3 linked regions of the Macaca mulatta genome follow. The protein of the gene in region 1 binds, or shares a complex with, the protein of each later gene. Links are inferred from orthologs where the notes say so. Each region holds a gene or a part of one and is shown in the gene's direction. Other genes may lie near its edges.

Evidence for each region. Proteins that work in one complex are often made in the same cells at the same time.
Region 2: the proteins of TNNT2 (region 1) and TNNC1 are in contact, whole or in part, in a crystal structure (PDB 1J1D), measured with the Homo sapiens proteins. The link is inferred for Macaca mulatta from reciprocal best matches to the Homo sapiens genes TNNT2 and TNNC1. Residues at the interface, in NP_001263274.1 of Homo sapiens: Gln266, Tyr269, Asn272, Val273, Asn276, Arg277, Asp280; in NP_003271.1 of Homo sapiens: Asp99, Phe101, Arg102, Asp105, Ala108, Asp109, Gly110, Tyr111, Arg147, Tyr150, Asp151.
Region 3: the proteins of TNNT2 (region 1) and TNNI3 are in contact, whole or in part, in a crystal structure (PDB 4Y99), measured with the Homo sapiens proteins. The link is inferred for Macaca mulatta from reciprocal best matches to the Homo sapiens genes TNNT2 and TNNI3. Residues at the interface, in NP_001263274.1 of Homo sapiens: Glu214, Lys217, Lys218, Ile221, Leu222, Arg225, Arg226, Lys227, Leu229, Ile231, Asp232, Leu234, Asn235, Glu236, Leu239, Arg240, Ala243, Lys244, Leu246, Trp247, Ile250, Tyr251, Leu253, Glu254, Ala255, Glu256, Lys257, Phe258, Asp259, Leu260; in NP_000354.4 of Homo sapiens: Arg68, Glu71, Lys72, Ala75, Leu76, Arg79, Gln81, Pro82, Leu83, Leu85, Leu88, Gly89, Phe90, Leu93, Gln94, Leu96, Arg98, Leu100, His101, Arg103, Val104, Asp105, Val107, Asp108, Glu109, Glu110, Arg111, Tyr112, Asp113, Ile114.

The regions. Positions count from the first base shown.
Region 1 is NC_133406.1:59,013,594-59,018,035, reverse strand, and holds part of TNNT2 (troponin T, cardiac muscle), read left to right. Parts: intron 1-1,970; coding exon 1,971-2,000; coding exon of another isoform or gene 2,001-2,049; intron 2,050-3,574; coding exon 3,575-3,652; intron 3,653-4,001; coding exon 4,002-4,037; intron 4,038-4,442. UniProt on the Homo sapiens protein: Troponin T is the tropomyosin-binding subunit of troponin, the thin filament regulatory complex which confers calcium-sensitivity to striated muscle actomyosin ATPase activity.
Region 2 is NC_133407.1:115,997,457-116,002,400, reverse strand, and holds TNNC1 (troponin C, slow skeletal and cardiac muscles), read left to right. Parts: upstream 1-1,417; 5' UTR 1,418-1,515; coding exon 1,516-1,539; intron 1,540-3,017; coding exon 3,018-3,048; intron 3,049-3,278; coding exon 3,279-3,425; intron 3,426-3,672; coding exon 3,673-3,787; intron 3,788-4,003; coding exon 4,004-4,140; intron 4,141-4,224; coding exon 4,225-4,256; 3' UTR 4,257-4,431; downstream 4,432-4,944. UniProt on the Homo sapiens protein: Troponin is the central regulatory protein of striated muscle contraction. Tn consists of three components: Tn-I which is the inhibitor of actomyosin ATPase, Tn-T which contains the binding site for tropomyosin and Tn-C.
Region 3 is NC_133424.1:67,469,357-67,474,588, reverse strand, and holds the start of TNNI3 (troponin I, cardiac muscle), read left to right. Parts: upstream 1-1,705; 5' UTR 1,706-1,856; coding exon 1,857-1,867; exon of another isoform or gene 1,868-1,887; intron 1,888-2,141; coding exon 2,142-2,154; intron 2,155-2,316; coding exon 2,317-2,400; intron 2,401-2,805; coding exon 2,806-2,847; intron 2,848-3,118; coding exon 3,119-3,250; intron 3,251-4,027; coding exon 4,028-4,117; intron 4,118-4,657; coding exon 4,658-4,834; intron 4,835-5,232. Other genes in the region: DNAAF3 (dynein axonemal assembly factor 3), read left to right, coding at 132-206, 290-677. UniProt on the Homo sapiens protein: Troponin I is the inhibitory subunit of troponin, the thin filament regulatory complex which confers calcium-sensitivity to striated muscle actomyosin ATPase activity.

The DNA.
Region 1 (4,442 bases):
TTGCTTCAAACCCAGTGACCACTTTTCCCAATTACTTTTGCTTCTTTTCCCTTTTATCATGGGAAATTTTAAATGCATATAAAGGTAGCAATAATAATAATAATGCTCCCCCTGCCCAATGTACCCATTACCAGCTTCAACAATCATCATCTTAGGGCCAATCTTCTTTCCTCTATACTCCGCCTTCCCCCAGTTATTTTAGAGCAGACGTCCAAAATTGTTCCCAGGCACCATGTCATTTCATGCTTCAAGATTTCGCTACACTGTATCTCTAAGAGATAAGTACTACTTAAAAAAACATAACCACAATGCCATGATACACCCTGAAAGATTCCATTTAGTAATTTCTCAAATGCGATTGTGAGTATGAAATTGCTCAGTGATCTGAGAAGTCTTATCTCGGCATGAAGCTTTGTTATGACTCTGAGCTTGCAGAGGCCCCTCTTGCTGCTCCTATTCTGATCGGTTAACCCCTTGCCCTCCTCAGCTGGGGGTCCCACATCTCTCTGAAAGAATGCCCTCACTTTTCCTTCTTCCTGAGAGCTTGGTGCATGGAAGTGATTCAGAGGCTTCATGCCAGTCCTCCCCCTACACCCCAGGCAGGTGGACCCTGCCTTTTAGTGGCTCAGGTATCACTTCAGCCTGTGGCGTGTAGACATTAGGAGAAGGGTCTCTATGAAGGTCCAAGGGGGGAGCTCAGATGGCCCCTCCTTTGCTCCCCATGGCTCCTAGGGAAAATGGGGACCCTCCTGCACATTTAGGGCTGTTCCAGGGGTGTCTGGCCAAAGAGGAGACAGAAGAGAAAGTCACAGGAGAAACTGAAAGAGGTCACAGGCATCTTTTTTGGTTTTCAAAGAACACCAGATACTTCAGAAGCTATTGGAAATACATTTTTGAATCAAAAATCTAGCTGGTTCCAAATTCTGCTGTGTTCCCTGAACAGACTCTTGATATGGTGGCCCTTCCTTTGTTTTGGAGGATTTCCCACTTCCTTGTAACAGGTTTGGGGTGGTGGAGTTAGTGACATAGATCTCTGGATTTGGGACCAATCTGCCTGCCACACACGGTAGAATTTGGCTGTGAGTTAACAGAGTCATTCTCCACTGCACTGGGGTCTGAGCCATGTAGCATCTGCCTTGCTTGCCGTGAATAGATGAGACCCGCCTCCCACACAGCTGAGGATCTGGCTGCAAATGATCAAGAGAGAGCAACCTCTAGATGGGTGTCCGCTAAGCCTGCAGGATAGATAGTGCCAAGTGTCCTTCTTCCAGGAGAGAAATTGTTCCACTTGCTGGAACTGTTTTTTGGGCAGATATTTGTACATAGAACAACTGTTGTAGATGCAGCCTCTTTCCTTAGGGTTATAATGCTGGACCCTTCTCAGGTGGGGCAGCCTCCTCCCAAAAGGCTGGGCAAATCTCCCCTGGGGCCAGGCTCTCCAGTGAGCCTTTCTAAAGTGTGGCTTCTGGAAACTGGACATGGTTTGCAGAATACCCAAGAGCCTCATTCAGAGCAGGAACATGGGCATGCTCGTTAAGGGCAGGAAATTTGATGGGAGTGAATTATCCCCCACTCTCCGCTCTTTAGGGGCCTCTGTCTTCGTAAGAAGGAAGCCGAGGCTCTGTCGTCTAGAGGCAGTGCAGTTACCACAGATAGCGTGCTCCTCCTATGCCAGGCACCTGCTGGGCGCTCTATGCGTGGTAGGTCATTCAGTCCTCACTAGGGCTGAGAAGTGAGCAGAATGATCCCCATTTTACTGATGAGGCACCTGAGGCTCAGGGAAGCAACTGAGAAGAGAGTTGCCCCTGTTGCTGGAAAGTAGTGGCTTGGGAATTGGAACGCCGGCCTAACTCCAAAGCCCACACTCTTAAAACCACTGCGCTGGGTGGCTGCTCCTGCCCTGGGCTCTCTGCTCCTAGACTAACCTGTCTCGCTTTTCCCCTCCGCTGCGGCCACTCCCTGAACCTCAGAAGAGGAAGACTGGAGAGAGGATGAAGACGGTAGTACAGCCTTTCCTTCTGTGGTGCTTTCTGCTGCCTGCTGTCCCGAGTACAGCCTGCTTGTCCAGGGGCCCTGCTCTGGGGGCTGGGGGGTGGGAGTTGGGGTCAGGGATGGAGTGGGTCAGTCGTCCCAGGGACCAGGATCACAGTTCTGAGTTGCTCATCATGCCTGACCCTCAGGGCCACTGGCTCCTCTTCCTGGTTCCTGATCCTTTCCCTGGGCTGGGCGGTGGGAGGGACCCAGGTTGGCTGGTCTCCCAAACTGCTCCAAATGTGGCCATAGAGGGGGCCTGGCATCTGGAAGCCAGCAGCGCCACTCTGCCCCCGCGCACATCCCAGTGTTCCGTGCTTGACGCTCCTTAGGAGCTGGACAGCGCCAGGCAGGGTGTCCAGGGTGTTGATTGGGGGGTCTGGGGACAAAGTCCTCTGGAGAACAGCCAGGGAGACTGGAAATAGCCAGAGCAGGAAGGACATGACGTCAGCCTTCAGATGCGCCCTGCTGATGGGGAGCACAGGACCAAGACAAGAGAGTGAGACCAGGGCGTAATTTTAGAAAGTGCGTCCTGACAGTGATATCTCAAGATGCAGTCGGTGTGCTGGGGAGATAGTAAGCTCCCCATCCTTGGGATGTGGCATGGCCACTGGGTGGGGTGGGGTATATTGTACAGAGAAGTGACATGTCAGATGAGGTGGCAGAGGTGTGAACAGGATGGCCTAAAGGTGAACCCCACAATGGCCATGTCCTTCCTCGCTAGCCCTCTGCTTTCACACCTAGAAGGATCATTTTGAGGCAAGACTCCTGCAGGGATCAAAGAAAAGGCATCTCCAGGCTTCAGAGAGGACTCAGACCTGGGAAGGGAGGACAGAGAGGATGAAGGCCGACCCTTCTCCCATGATGGTGTCTTCCTCCTGCCTGAGGCTTTTTCTTCTCCCTCTGCCAAGAGGCACCCACTTCCCAGTGCATCAGTGAACAGGCATCACAGAACACTTCCTACAGGCAGAGCCCAGGCCAGGCAGCATCCTGTCTCCCTTATCTGTGTCTGTCTGTCTACTCCAAGTGCCTGATTGAGATGGGGGCCACATCCTGCCAAACAAATGGATAAAAATAGAAAAATCCTGTCCACTTTCTGGATAGTATGAAGATCCAGATGTTGGGCGCACCATCCAGCCACACAGTCATACTCTTTTGATTTCTTTGAGATGTGGATTGAGGGTGTCTAGAGTCACTAGGTTCAGGACAGGAGCTTCCGGACACCTCAGCTTAAGCAGGGCATGTTCTGTGGTGCCAGACACGGGGTGGAACTTCTGGGCTGGAAAGTTGGGGAAGGAGGTGGAGTCCTGTCATCAGAGAGGTCTCTGGGATGAGTGGGGCTAAGCTGGGTGGGAGGAGGCAGCTGACAGTCAAAACCAAGAATGGCAGCCCCCTGGCATTCACGTTGGTTGTCCCCAAATTCGTCTGGACCTGGATGTCTTGACCCCCATCCCCACTCCCCACTGCCTGTTCTCTGCTCTGGGTTCTGCCTGATAGCATGAGTGGGGCCTGCTTCTTCACTCTGTCTGCTTCACTTCTCTAGAGCAGGAGGAGGCAGCAGAAGAGGATGCTGAGGATGGGGCTGAAGCAGAGGCTGAGACCGAGGAGACCAGGGCAGAAGGTAAGTCTCTGGATGAGGGTGCAGGGACCTCAGGGGGTGGTGAGAGCCCCCGGAGCCATTCCTAGGCAGTAAGAAACCCCAGAACAGGCTTTCCCATGTGCACCTGATTCTCCTATTGGCTAAGATTCAACTGTTGATTGCCCAGTCAACAAACGTTGACTCAGCCCTTCTCTTGTGTCAGGCAGAGTCTTGGGTCCAGGGGAATGTGCGTGCGAGACACAGCTCTGTGACCCCAAAAACCAACAGCGTGCATCTTAGCTAGGACTTATTTGTTGGGGAGGCTCTTGGTGGGATGGGGGGACTTGAGCTCAGAACAAGGACCTTGATTGATTTCTCGTGTTTCATTTAGAAGATGGAGAAGAAGAGGAAGCAAAGGAAGCTGAAGGTAAGGATATCAGGAGAGAGGTACAAGGGAGGCAAAGGAGCCCCTCCCCGCAGCTTTGGAGGAGAATGCCCACCGTGCTCCTTCCAGGGAAGTGGGTGTACACTGAGAGGGTTTGGGAGAGGAGAGGACAGAACTTGGTGGCACTTCTGAAGTTTTAGATGTTGAGCTTTAAACTTTGCCCCTTCTCCTCCCAGAGAAGCTGCATTGGTGGCACCCAGTGGGAGAGGGGACCATTGTCCAGCCCCCTGGTCTGGACAGAGCAATGGGACCCAGAAGTCATATCTACACATGAAGCTCCTAGAGCTTAGGTGAAGTCACTTGTAGGATGTGGCATCCGTAGGATGAAATCCCAATGCATAGATGGTCATGGTGGGCCACTGCTGCAGTCATCGTCATGCTGCAGCC
Region 2 (4,944 bases), on another chromosome or scaffold:
GCCTTCTTCCTGCGCCCTCGCCCCGCCCCTCGTGCGTGATTGACAGGCACCACCCACAGCGCGCGCGTGCGCGGTGCTCGCTTGCGTAATCTCTACCTGCTTGGCGCGGCGGGAGGTACACTGCGCAACCTGCTAGAAACTGAGACCCCTGGTGGTTACAGCTCTGGGCATCGCCCCTCCGTCCTCGGGAAGAGGGGACAGAAGGTCTCGAGCCTTCCGGGCTACACGAAGCAAGTCACTGCTCTTCCTGGCCTCAGTTTACTCCTCCGGATAAAGGAGGCCATAATAGTGCCTCACCTGGCTGTTGAGCTCTTTCTCTTTAGGGCAAGGCGGGTTGGAGGGGAAAACAGGACCTGTGCTTACCGCCGGAGCAGGGCGAGAACGATTCTGGGCCAGTTCTGAACCTCTCCGAGACTCGGAGATCTCTTGTCAGTGGGGCTCCTGGACAACTGAGTGGGTCGGTTCATGCGCGGCCCGGCACGCAGTAGTGCTCGAGGCAGGGAGCGTGTTTATCAAGAGGGATAAACTTGATACGAACTCTGTACGAAGGAGGGTGTAGGTGGATGGAGGGGTGTGTGCCGCCACTGAGCACAAGAACCCCACGGGGTGGCCTGCCAGAGTTTAAAACGAGGGAGACAGATTGACCTGGACCCAGGAACTACAGTGCTAGAATGGGGAACTGAGTCCTAAACCAAGGAAAAATGAGACCTAGAAGAGGGAGGTGGTAACCTAACTAGAGGGTGAGGAGGAAAGGAGCCTGCCACAGATGGGGCATCTGTAGGGGTGCTGTTGAATAACTGACAGCAGCTGACTTAAGCCCGAAGTGAGTACTTCTCCCTGGGCGGATGGGAGGTCTGGGGCAGGCTCCTCTGGCAGAAGGCTCCTGGCCACCCTGTCCTAAGGTGGATCAGTCACTTCCTCCTTCACCAGTTCCACAGCATCGTACTATGAGCTTGATATTCAAGGCTTCTCTTGGCAGGGCCCTGCACTCCCAGCCTCTCCTTGCACGTTGCACCCCCATTCCAGAGAGGTTGAGTTAAAGGCAGGGGTTGCCAAGTCAGTCAGATCTTGGGCAAGTCACCACTCCTCCAGAGCCTCAATTTCCTTATCTGGAAAGTGGTGGTCATGGCACCCGCCTCCCTGGTTGGATGGGAGCCTGAGCTGCTGTGTTGCCCGGGCCTTGCCTAGGGCCCACGACTTCGTAACTCCTGTCCTGCACTGGACTCATGTTTTCATTCATTCCAGAAACCTTTTCAGAGAGTCCCTTGGGGAGTGTGGGGGACAGGAGGGAAAGAAACCTGGTCCTTGTAGCCCTTCATCTGCTTCCTGCCCTGGGCAGAGGACACGGGGACTCAGGCCAGCCTGAGATCACTGGGACCAGAGGAGGGACTGGAGGATACTACATGCAGGGATGGGCTGGGCTGGGTTGGGCTGGGCCAGGAATGCGGTGGGGCAGGGCTATTTAAGTCAAGGGCCGGCTGGCAACCCCAGCAGGCTGTCCTGTGAGCCGCCAGCATGGATGACATCTACAAGGCTGCGGTGAGGGACAGGGCTGGGTAGGGCTGGGGTGGGCAGGCCCACTGGGGGCTCACTCAGCTCAGAATGGGAGGCCAGTAGCCCCAGGGAAGTGGTGGGGACCCAGGAGAAAGCCTACGTGCCTTCAATCCAGGCTGTCACAGGGACAGTGGTTCTGGTGTTTGGGGATGCAGAAGGGATGGGAGTTCAGGTTCTGAAGGGTGGTGGAGGATGTCGCAGCTTTCAGCATCATGTCTCACTCTCTGTTTCCAAGTGTCTGTAGTCTGAGGCACTGTCGCTCAGCCACATGTCTCTGCATTTGTCTCTGGACATTTTTGCCTTTCTCTTTTCATCTCTTCCTCCTGAGCTGTCTGAGTCCCCATTACTGTCTCCCTGTCCCCAACCCCCATTTCTGCCCCTCACATTATGCTTCTCACATGCTCAAAATCTGCTACCCCACTCCAGCCCCTTGACTGGCCGAAGATGCTTTGGGAGGTGGAGGGTGTGAGAGGAGTGGGCTGCAGAGCTTGAGTCCTGGGCTGGAGATGGGGCTTTGAAGTTTGAGGCAGGGAAGTTCTGGACATGAGGGAAAACCAAGGAAGAAGGAACAGAGAACTGGGGCCCCAGCTCCCATCATGCCTGGCAGGCTCAGCGCTCAGTGGCTTAGATAGGGGTGAGAGCGAGGGAACAAGGGCTGGAGAGTGGTCACCCCAAGCCCCTGCAGCCTCCTGGGTCACTGGGGGTCTTCAGATGCTATTCTATCCAGGGGTGGTGGTGACCTCCCCCAACCCCAGAGCAAGGACATCCTGGAATGAACAGCTGTCCCCAGGGGAACCCCTCCCTCAGCCTCCCTTACTCCTGGGCAGGGAAGTGCTACAGCCAGCTCTGGGGGCACGCCTGCTTATCCTGTGGGAATCCATGGAGCTGGAGTGGGGGCAGCCCTCCACCCAGTGCCCATACAAGGCCTGGCGGAGCTGGGGACTAATTTTGGCTCCTGAGGCGGCACTAGCAGGCCAGGGGGCCAGATAACGCTGCCCCACCCCCTGCATGCCAAAGTCCCCAGAACAATCACCAGGTTTAACTTTGTTCCTCATTAAAAATAGCCCAGTGGCCACCCTGGTCAGGTTACAGTGGGTGGCTCGCCTGCCCCCACACTGGTTTTATTGTCCCAACTTGAGGGACAGCTGTCCCTCGGGCCACCCGGCTTGAGTTTCATCAGGGGCTGAAAGGGCATTGAGTGGTCACTGACTATTGTTACTGAGGGTCACCTTGGCCCTGAAGGGGGTGCCCACCTGTCACCCTGGCCCTCAGCCCAGTCTCAGTGAGGCCAGCTGGGTCACATCAGGGCTTTGGGGGCAGGGAGGGAGGACTGAGACCTCCGCCCTGTGGCCTGGAAATAGCCTGCCTCCTCCGGCTCCAGCCTTCTCACCTGTGGAATGGATTGGTTTCCTCAGCAGCAGCTATACCTGAGTCTGAGCCCTGAGAATCCCTTTCCTTTCTAGGTAGAGCAGCTGACAGAAGAGCAGAAAAATGGTGAGAACCCCTATCACACATGTGGGAGACCAGCGGGGCCAGGCTGGCATGGGGACCCCTTACCAGAAGAGGACCTCAGACCAGAGAGCAGAGGCTTGGTCCCTCTTGCTCTGACCTCAGAGAGGTCTCTGAGGGAGGTGGGCAGGTTGGCAGATGGCCCCAGGGTTCTGGCCTTCTGAGGTCCTGGCTGCTGAGCCCCGACTACTATGCCCCCCAACCCCTGAACACAGAGTTCAAGGCAGCCTTTGATATCTTCGTGCTGGGTGCTGAGGATGGCTGCATCAGCACCAAGGAGCTGGGCAAGGTGATGAGGATGCTGGGCCAGAACCCCACCCCTGAGGAGCTGCAGGAGATGATTGACGAGGTGGACGAGGACGGTGAGCCCCCTCCTCCCCAGGCTCCAGAAGAACCCCAGCTGGCTGGGGGCTGGAATGCTGGCTCTGTTTAGCTGGGAGCGGTTTTGCCTATCTGAGCCTCAGTTGCCTCATCTATAAAATGGGCATAATGGCCACAGAAGCCTGGCATTTGGTGTGAGGGTGCGGTGAGAACATGGGGGTTCATGTCGAAGGTGCTGCCTGCAGTACCTACCCCGGCCTCTGTAACGGCCATGCCGCCCACCCCCAGGCAGCGGCACGGTGGACTTTGATGAGTTCCTGGTCATGATGGTTCGGTGCATGAAGGACGACAGCAAAGGGAAATCTGAGGAGGAGCTGTCTGACCTCTTCCGCATGTTTGACAAGTGAGCATGTGACCCTTGACCTCTGACCCTGACCCACACTCAAGCCAAACTGTAGAGGAGGGCGGTCTCAGATTCCAGGCCTAGGGACCCTGCGGCCTCTGCCTGATTGGGGAGAGGGATGCCCCATCTCCCAGTGTCCCTGCTCTGCCTCCTGGGGCATGGGTGGGGCTGCCTTATGCCCTCCCCACAGTCCTACCCTGAGCCCCCTCCCCACAGAAACGCTGATGGCTACATCGACCTGGATGAGCTGAAGATGATGCTGCAGGCTACAGGCGAGACCATCACGGAGGACGACATCGAGGAGCTCATGAAGGACGGAGACAAGAACAACGATGGCCGCATCGACTATGATGGTAAGTGGGTAGGTGGGCTGGTCCCCTGCCTCCATGCCCTGCCCAGCCCCCACCCCCGACCCACACCTGCCCCTCTTTCCACAGAGTTCCTGGAGTTCATGAAGGGTGTGGAGTAGATGCTGACCTTCACCCAGAGCTTCCCATGCCCAGCCTCCAACTCCAGCTGAGTCCTGGGGTTGGGGAGGGGGTTGGGGTCCCAGGACCTGAGCCTGGCCATATCCTCAACCCCAAATCCCCTGACTCCCTCCCCAACTCTGTCCTGGGAGATGCAAATAAAGCGTGCTCCCCGGAGGTCTGCTGTCTGCCTCTGGTGTCCCTGGGCCGGGGACTCTTCCTCAGGACTCACTCTTACCCGATGACTGCTTCCTTCCCTGTCGTAGGCAGGCTGGCTGCAGTGCCTGGTGCCTGACCGCCACTCCACACTGCCTTCTGCGGGGAGTGAGATGAGATCGGAGACTGCTGTGTGGCCTGCCCTGCTGGCTGCCCTCTATCACTCCTCATGCCCAGGCACCATCTCCAGGGATTCAGCATCTGGAGTCTGTGGGGGCCTAGAACCCCTACAAGTTCCTGGGGGCCATCACTTTGGTCAACCACTGTGGCAGCCTAGGGGTTCTCTCCTTGGAGAGAGTGGTTCACTGCGGTACACAGCTAGGCCCTGAATGCTGCCTGGCAGAGCAACCCCCGTTACCTCTCAGCCGTGGCTGGAATGGAGCTGAGCCTGTGGGGTCCCTGCAGGCCCACAGTGCTAGTTCACCCGCCCACTCACTTGTATTTCCTGCCAGCAACATTGACTCCCAGGGCCAG
Region 3 (5,232 bases), on another chromosome or scaffold:
CAGACCTCCTGCTCCCTTCTTTCCCAGGACCCAGACTCCAGTGTTGCAGCCCCTCCTCCCTCAGTGTCTGGGTTCCCAGAGCCCCCTCCTCCCTCAGCTGAGTCTCGGCTTGTCCTCGGTCCTCACTGCAGGGTGGTCCATCTTCTCAGCCCCGAGCTTGGGGCCTGTGTGGCACCTGGAGGGAACCTGATTGTGGAATTAGCCCGGTGAGCCAGTGGGGTGGAGGGCGGGGAACATCCCGGCTGGGGATCAAAATCTGGGTCCCTGACATGGCGCTTCCCATCTGCAGATACCTGGTGGACGTGCGGCAGGAGCAGCTGCAGGGATTCAACACCCAGGTCGGGGAGCGAGCTCAGGCAGCGGGATTTGCTCCACAGACCGGGGCCAGGCCCTCAGAGACCTTCGCACGTTTCTGCAAGTCCCAGGACTCGGCTCTGGGCAGCACTGACCCAGCTGTGGAACCCAGAACTCCGTCCCTTGACGTCCTGGCCCAGCCTCTTGAAGCCAGCAGCCCAGCCCCTGAGGGCCTGACCCAGCCTCTGGAGGGCGGGACCCCACACTGGGAGCCCTGCCAGCTGCCCTCTGAGTCTCCAGGTTCACTCTCAGAGGTTCTGGCTCAGCCCCAAGGGGCTTTGGCTCTGTCCAACTGTGAGTCACACTCCAACACTGGAGTCTGACCCAACCCCTAGATACCCCTTATCTCCAACTTCCAAAGTCAGGTTGTAGGATGAGAACCCGCTGATACCATCCTAAGCTGGCTGCTAGAGTCCCCAATTTTATTCTAATCATTCCCACTCAGTACCCGCCACCCCCACCCTGGGAGTGTTGATAGAATTTCAAATTCTATTTTTGAGATTCTATTTCTAGAATTCTAGATTGTTCTCTCAGAATTCCAAATTCCACTTCTGAGGCCCTGAACCCAGTCTAGGATCGGACCCTGAGTCTCAAGCCCTTGACTTTGGCCCCCTTGTTCCCAGGCACCCTGTGGCTGGCTGGGGGCTGGGGTGTCTCCTCACCAGGGCCTGGTCAGCACCCAGATGGTTCAAGTAAAGCAAGTTATGTCCACCTCTCTGTGTGTCCAAGTGTCTTTCCTGTCCTATGTCCGTCTCCAGGGCTGGGAGAGAAAGACCCAGGAGTGGTGGACAGAGGAAGCCAGAAACCAGATTCCTGGGTTTCCGGGACTTGACCAGTGGGTCTAGGGAGGACAGGACTGGGGTCTGGACTGCTGGGTCTGAGGGAGGAGGGGCTGGGGGTCTGGACTCCTGGGTCTGAGGGAGGAGGGGCTGGGGGCCTGGACTCCTGGGTCTGAGGGAGGAGGGGCTGGGGGTCTGGACTCCTGGGTCTGAGGGAGGAGGGGCTGGGGACCTGGACTCCTGGGTCTGAGGGAGGAGGGGCTGGGGATCTGGACTCCTGGGTCTGAGGGAAGAGGGGGCTGGGGGCCTGGACTCCTTGTCTGAGGGAGTGGCTGGGGTCTCCCAGGGTCCTAGGACTGAGGAAGGAGGGGGCTGGGAGGTTGGGCATTCTGTGGGTCTGAGGGAGGAGGGGTCTAGGACTCCAGGATCAGAGGGAGGAGGGTCCGGAGTCCTGTGCCCCGAGGTGGCTGGTGATCCAGCTGGAGCAGGGCCCACCCCACCCCTCACGTGCCCCGTTATCTCGCATGGTGGGCAGGGGAGGAGGAGGTGACAGTATATTTAGTCTCTGTCCTCGCCCTTTATCTCAGTGTCCTCGGGGAGTCTCAAGCAGCCGGGAGGAGACTGACGGTCCCTGGGACCCTGAAGGTCACCCAGGCGGTCCCCTCACCGACCCTCCAAACGCCCCTGTCCTCACCTCCTGCCATTCCCGGCCTGAGTCTCAGCATGGCAGATAAGTGAGTGATGCCCCAAGGCAGTGGGAGTTGGGGGCGACCTCTCAGGTTCCCAAGAGGGGTCAGAGCTGAGAGGCTGGACCCCTGGCCTGTGAGGTAGGGGTAGGGGCTCTTGGTTGAAGAAAGGAAGCGGGTTTGCGAGTCAGACTCCTGGAACCAGAGGAAGGGGAAGCGGTGTCCCCCGACCTCTTGGTCAGAGGGGCTTCCGGGGGTCCCTTAGGAGACAGACAGGACACAGCCCACCACTAACCCCCATCCCCGGTTTCTCTCCTTCCAGGAGCAGCGATGCGGTGAGAGCAGCAGGCTAAGGCGTGGCTGGGACCCCCAGGGCCAGGGTGGGCGCTGCAGTGAGGGGTCTGGGGCGGGAGGCTGCAGCCCTAGCAGAGGGTGCGGTACGGTAAGGGCTGGGTGGGGTCTTGGTGGTGATGGGGTCCCCACTCCTCCAAACCCAGGCTGGGGAACCTCGCCCTGCACCAGCCCCAATCAGACGCCGCTCCTCCAACTACCGCGCTTACGCCACGGAGCCACACGCCAAGGTGGGAAGGGGCTTCCTGGGGGCCGAGTACAGGCGCTGGAAGGACCCGAGACCTTAGGAGTGGGGGGAGGAGCCAAGGCTACGAAGGGGGCGGGGACTACGCGGAGAGGCTTCAGGGGCGGAGTTTTGCAAAGGGTCACACTCGGATTGGTGACAGCCGCCTGTGGGCGTAGTTCCGTTGCCCTTGGATTTCCTTAGGGATAGATGGGAAGTGCCTATCCAAAGCCAGAGACCCGGATTGGTGGATGGGAATGAGGGGCGTGGCCTGTCATAGACTCAGGGCGCAAGTTGGAAGTGGGCCCAAATCTGGACCGGCTGGGGTTGCTGGGGGTGCCTTGAGGTCCCCTCCACCGTCGTCTCCGGATCCCCCTCCATGATGCTTCCTTGCTCCATCTCACCCTGGCAGAAAAAATCTAAGATCTCCGCCTCGAGAAAATTGCAGCTGAAGGTGAGCACGGGAGGTCCAGGGAAGGAGCAGGCACGTGCTCAGGGGGCGGAGCTTGAGAGTGGGTGGGGCTTTCGGGGTAGGTGGGCGGGAGTGGGCGGGGGTTTGGCCGCTCGGGGCGTGGCTTTATCGGGGAGTCCTGCTCCGGGTGGGGCGGGGCCTTGGAAAGGTGGAGACGAAACTCGAGGGTTTAGAAGGGCAGACGGGGTTCCCTACGCCTGGTCTTTTTCCTGATGCCCCGGGTGGGCTACGCTTCCCTCCCACCCCTCCGCAGACCCTGCTGCTGCAGATTGCAAAGCAGGAGCTGGAGCGAGAGGCGGAGGAGCGGCGCGGAGAGAAGGGGCGCGCTCTGAGCACGCGCTGCCAGCCGCTGGAGTTGGCTGGGCTGGGCTTCGCGGAGCTGCAGGTACCGGCTCCCAAGGCAGGTACTCCTGCCCAGCCTGGGATCCGAGGTTTCTAGTCCCCGGAATTCAGCAGAACAGCCTCTGTCCCCTCTTCTGCTCGGGACCCAGGCGTCCAATATGTCTGTCCTTACCCAATTCTATATGGTTCGTGGGACTCCCGGCCCCTAACACCCTTTGTGTGCAGGTCTCTGGAGTCTTGGCTCCAACCTACTCCTTCAGGATCATGTGGCCCTCCTACCCCAGACAGGGTCCAGGCCCCAGCCCCTCCTCCCTCAGACCCAGGAGTCCAGGCCCCAGCCCCTCCTCCCTCAGACCCAGGAGTCCAGGCCCCAGCCCCTCCTCCCTCAGACCCAGGAGTCCAGGCCCCAGCCCCTCCTCCCTCAGACCCAGGAGTCCAGGGCCCAGCCCCTCCTCCCTCAGACCCAGGAGTCCAGGGCCCAGCCCCTCCTCCCTCAGACCCAGGAGTCCAGGCCCCAGCCCCTCCTCCCTCAGACCCAGGAGTCCAGGGCCTCAGCCCCTCCTCCCTCAGACCCAGGAGTCCAGGGCCTCAGCCCCTCCTCCCTCAGACCCAGGAGTCCAGGCCCCAGCCCCTCCTCCCTCAGACCCAGGAGTCCAGGCCCCAGCCCCTCCTCCCTCAGACCCAGGAGTCCAGGCCCCCAACTCCTCCTCTCTCAGACCCAGGAGTCCAGGCCCCCAGCCCCTCCTCCCTCAGACCCAGGGGTTCAGGTCTCCAGGCCTCCAGGCTTCCCCCAAAAACACACACCACGTTCCTCCTCCAGGACTTGTGCCGACAGCTCCATGCCCGTGTGGACAAGGTGGATGAAGAGAGATATGACATACAGGCAAAAGTCACCAAGAACATCACAGAGGTGGGACGCATGGGCAGCTCGGGTACCTTCGGGGTAGTGAGATACCTGGTATTTGGTCTCTGCCTGACCCCTTGCAGCTGCTTTTGGCTGCACATCCCAGGAGACCCAGGACAACTGTGAGCCTGGCAGGGCTGGGGCAGAAGGATGAGTACAATATAGTCAAGGAAAGCTGTTGTAGGCAGAGGGAACAGCACATGGAAGGCCATGGGTTGGGAAACAGAAAATATCTTAGTGAACATTTTCAGGGCATCACATGTTGGTAAATTAGCTCAGGCATTGGCCAGGGAATTGTGATTTGCATGTAGCTGGACCAGGTTATGCCAGTGGTTTTGTGAGGTGAGGCTGGAGCGTATGAAGAGGGGGATTCAGTTCCAGGATTAGAAGCTTAGACTGGGAGCCTAAGCTGGGAAGAGACTGGATGAGGCCTTGGTACTGGAAGATGAGATAAGGAGAATAAAAAAGGAGTGTAGGGTGGAAGAGTTGGGTGAGGGGGAAATGGAGGCAGGAGTATCCACACCCCTGTATACTGCCTCCCCCCAGATCGCAGATCTGACCCAGAAGATCTTTGACCTTCGGGGCAAGTTTAAGCGGCCCACCCTGCGGAGAGTGAGGATCTCTGCAGATGCCATGATGCAGGCACTGCTGGGGGCCCGGGCTAAGGAGTCCCTGGACCTGCGGGCCCACCTCAAGCAGGTGAAGAAGGAGGACACCGAGAAGGTGAGTGTGGGCTAAGGCCAGGAAAGAGAATGCTGAGGGGAAGGGCTGTGGGTACCAACAACCCTGGGGCCTAGCTGGAGGGCAGACGGTGCTTGAAGTTGGGGGTAGAAGCAGCTAGCTAGTATGGGGTCCTCCAAAATGCAAGAGGAAGACAGGAAGTGCATTAGGGCTACAGGAAGTCCATGTAAGAGCAAAGAGGTGCATGAAGGGCTGGGTGCAGGGGCTCATGCCTGTAATCTTTGAGATTTAAAAATTTTTTTTTTAATTTCCTTTTTTTTTTTGAGATGGAGTCTCTGCTGCCCGGGCTGGAGTGCAATGACACCATCTCGGCTGCTGGAGTGCAGTGACGCCATCTCGGCTCACCGCAACCTCCGCCTCCCAGGATCAAGTGATTCTCA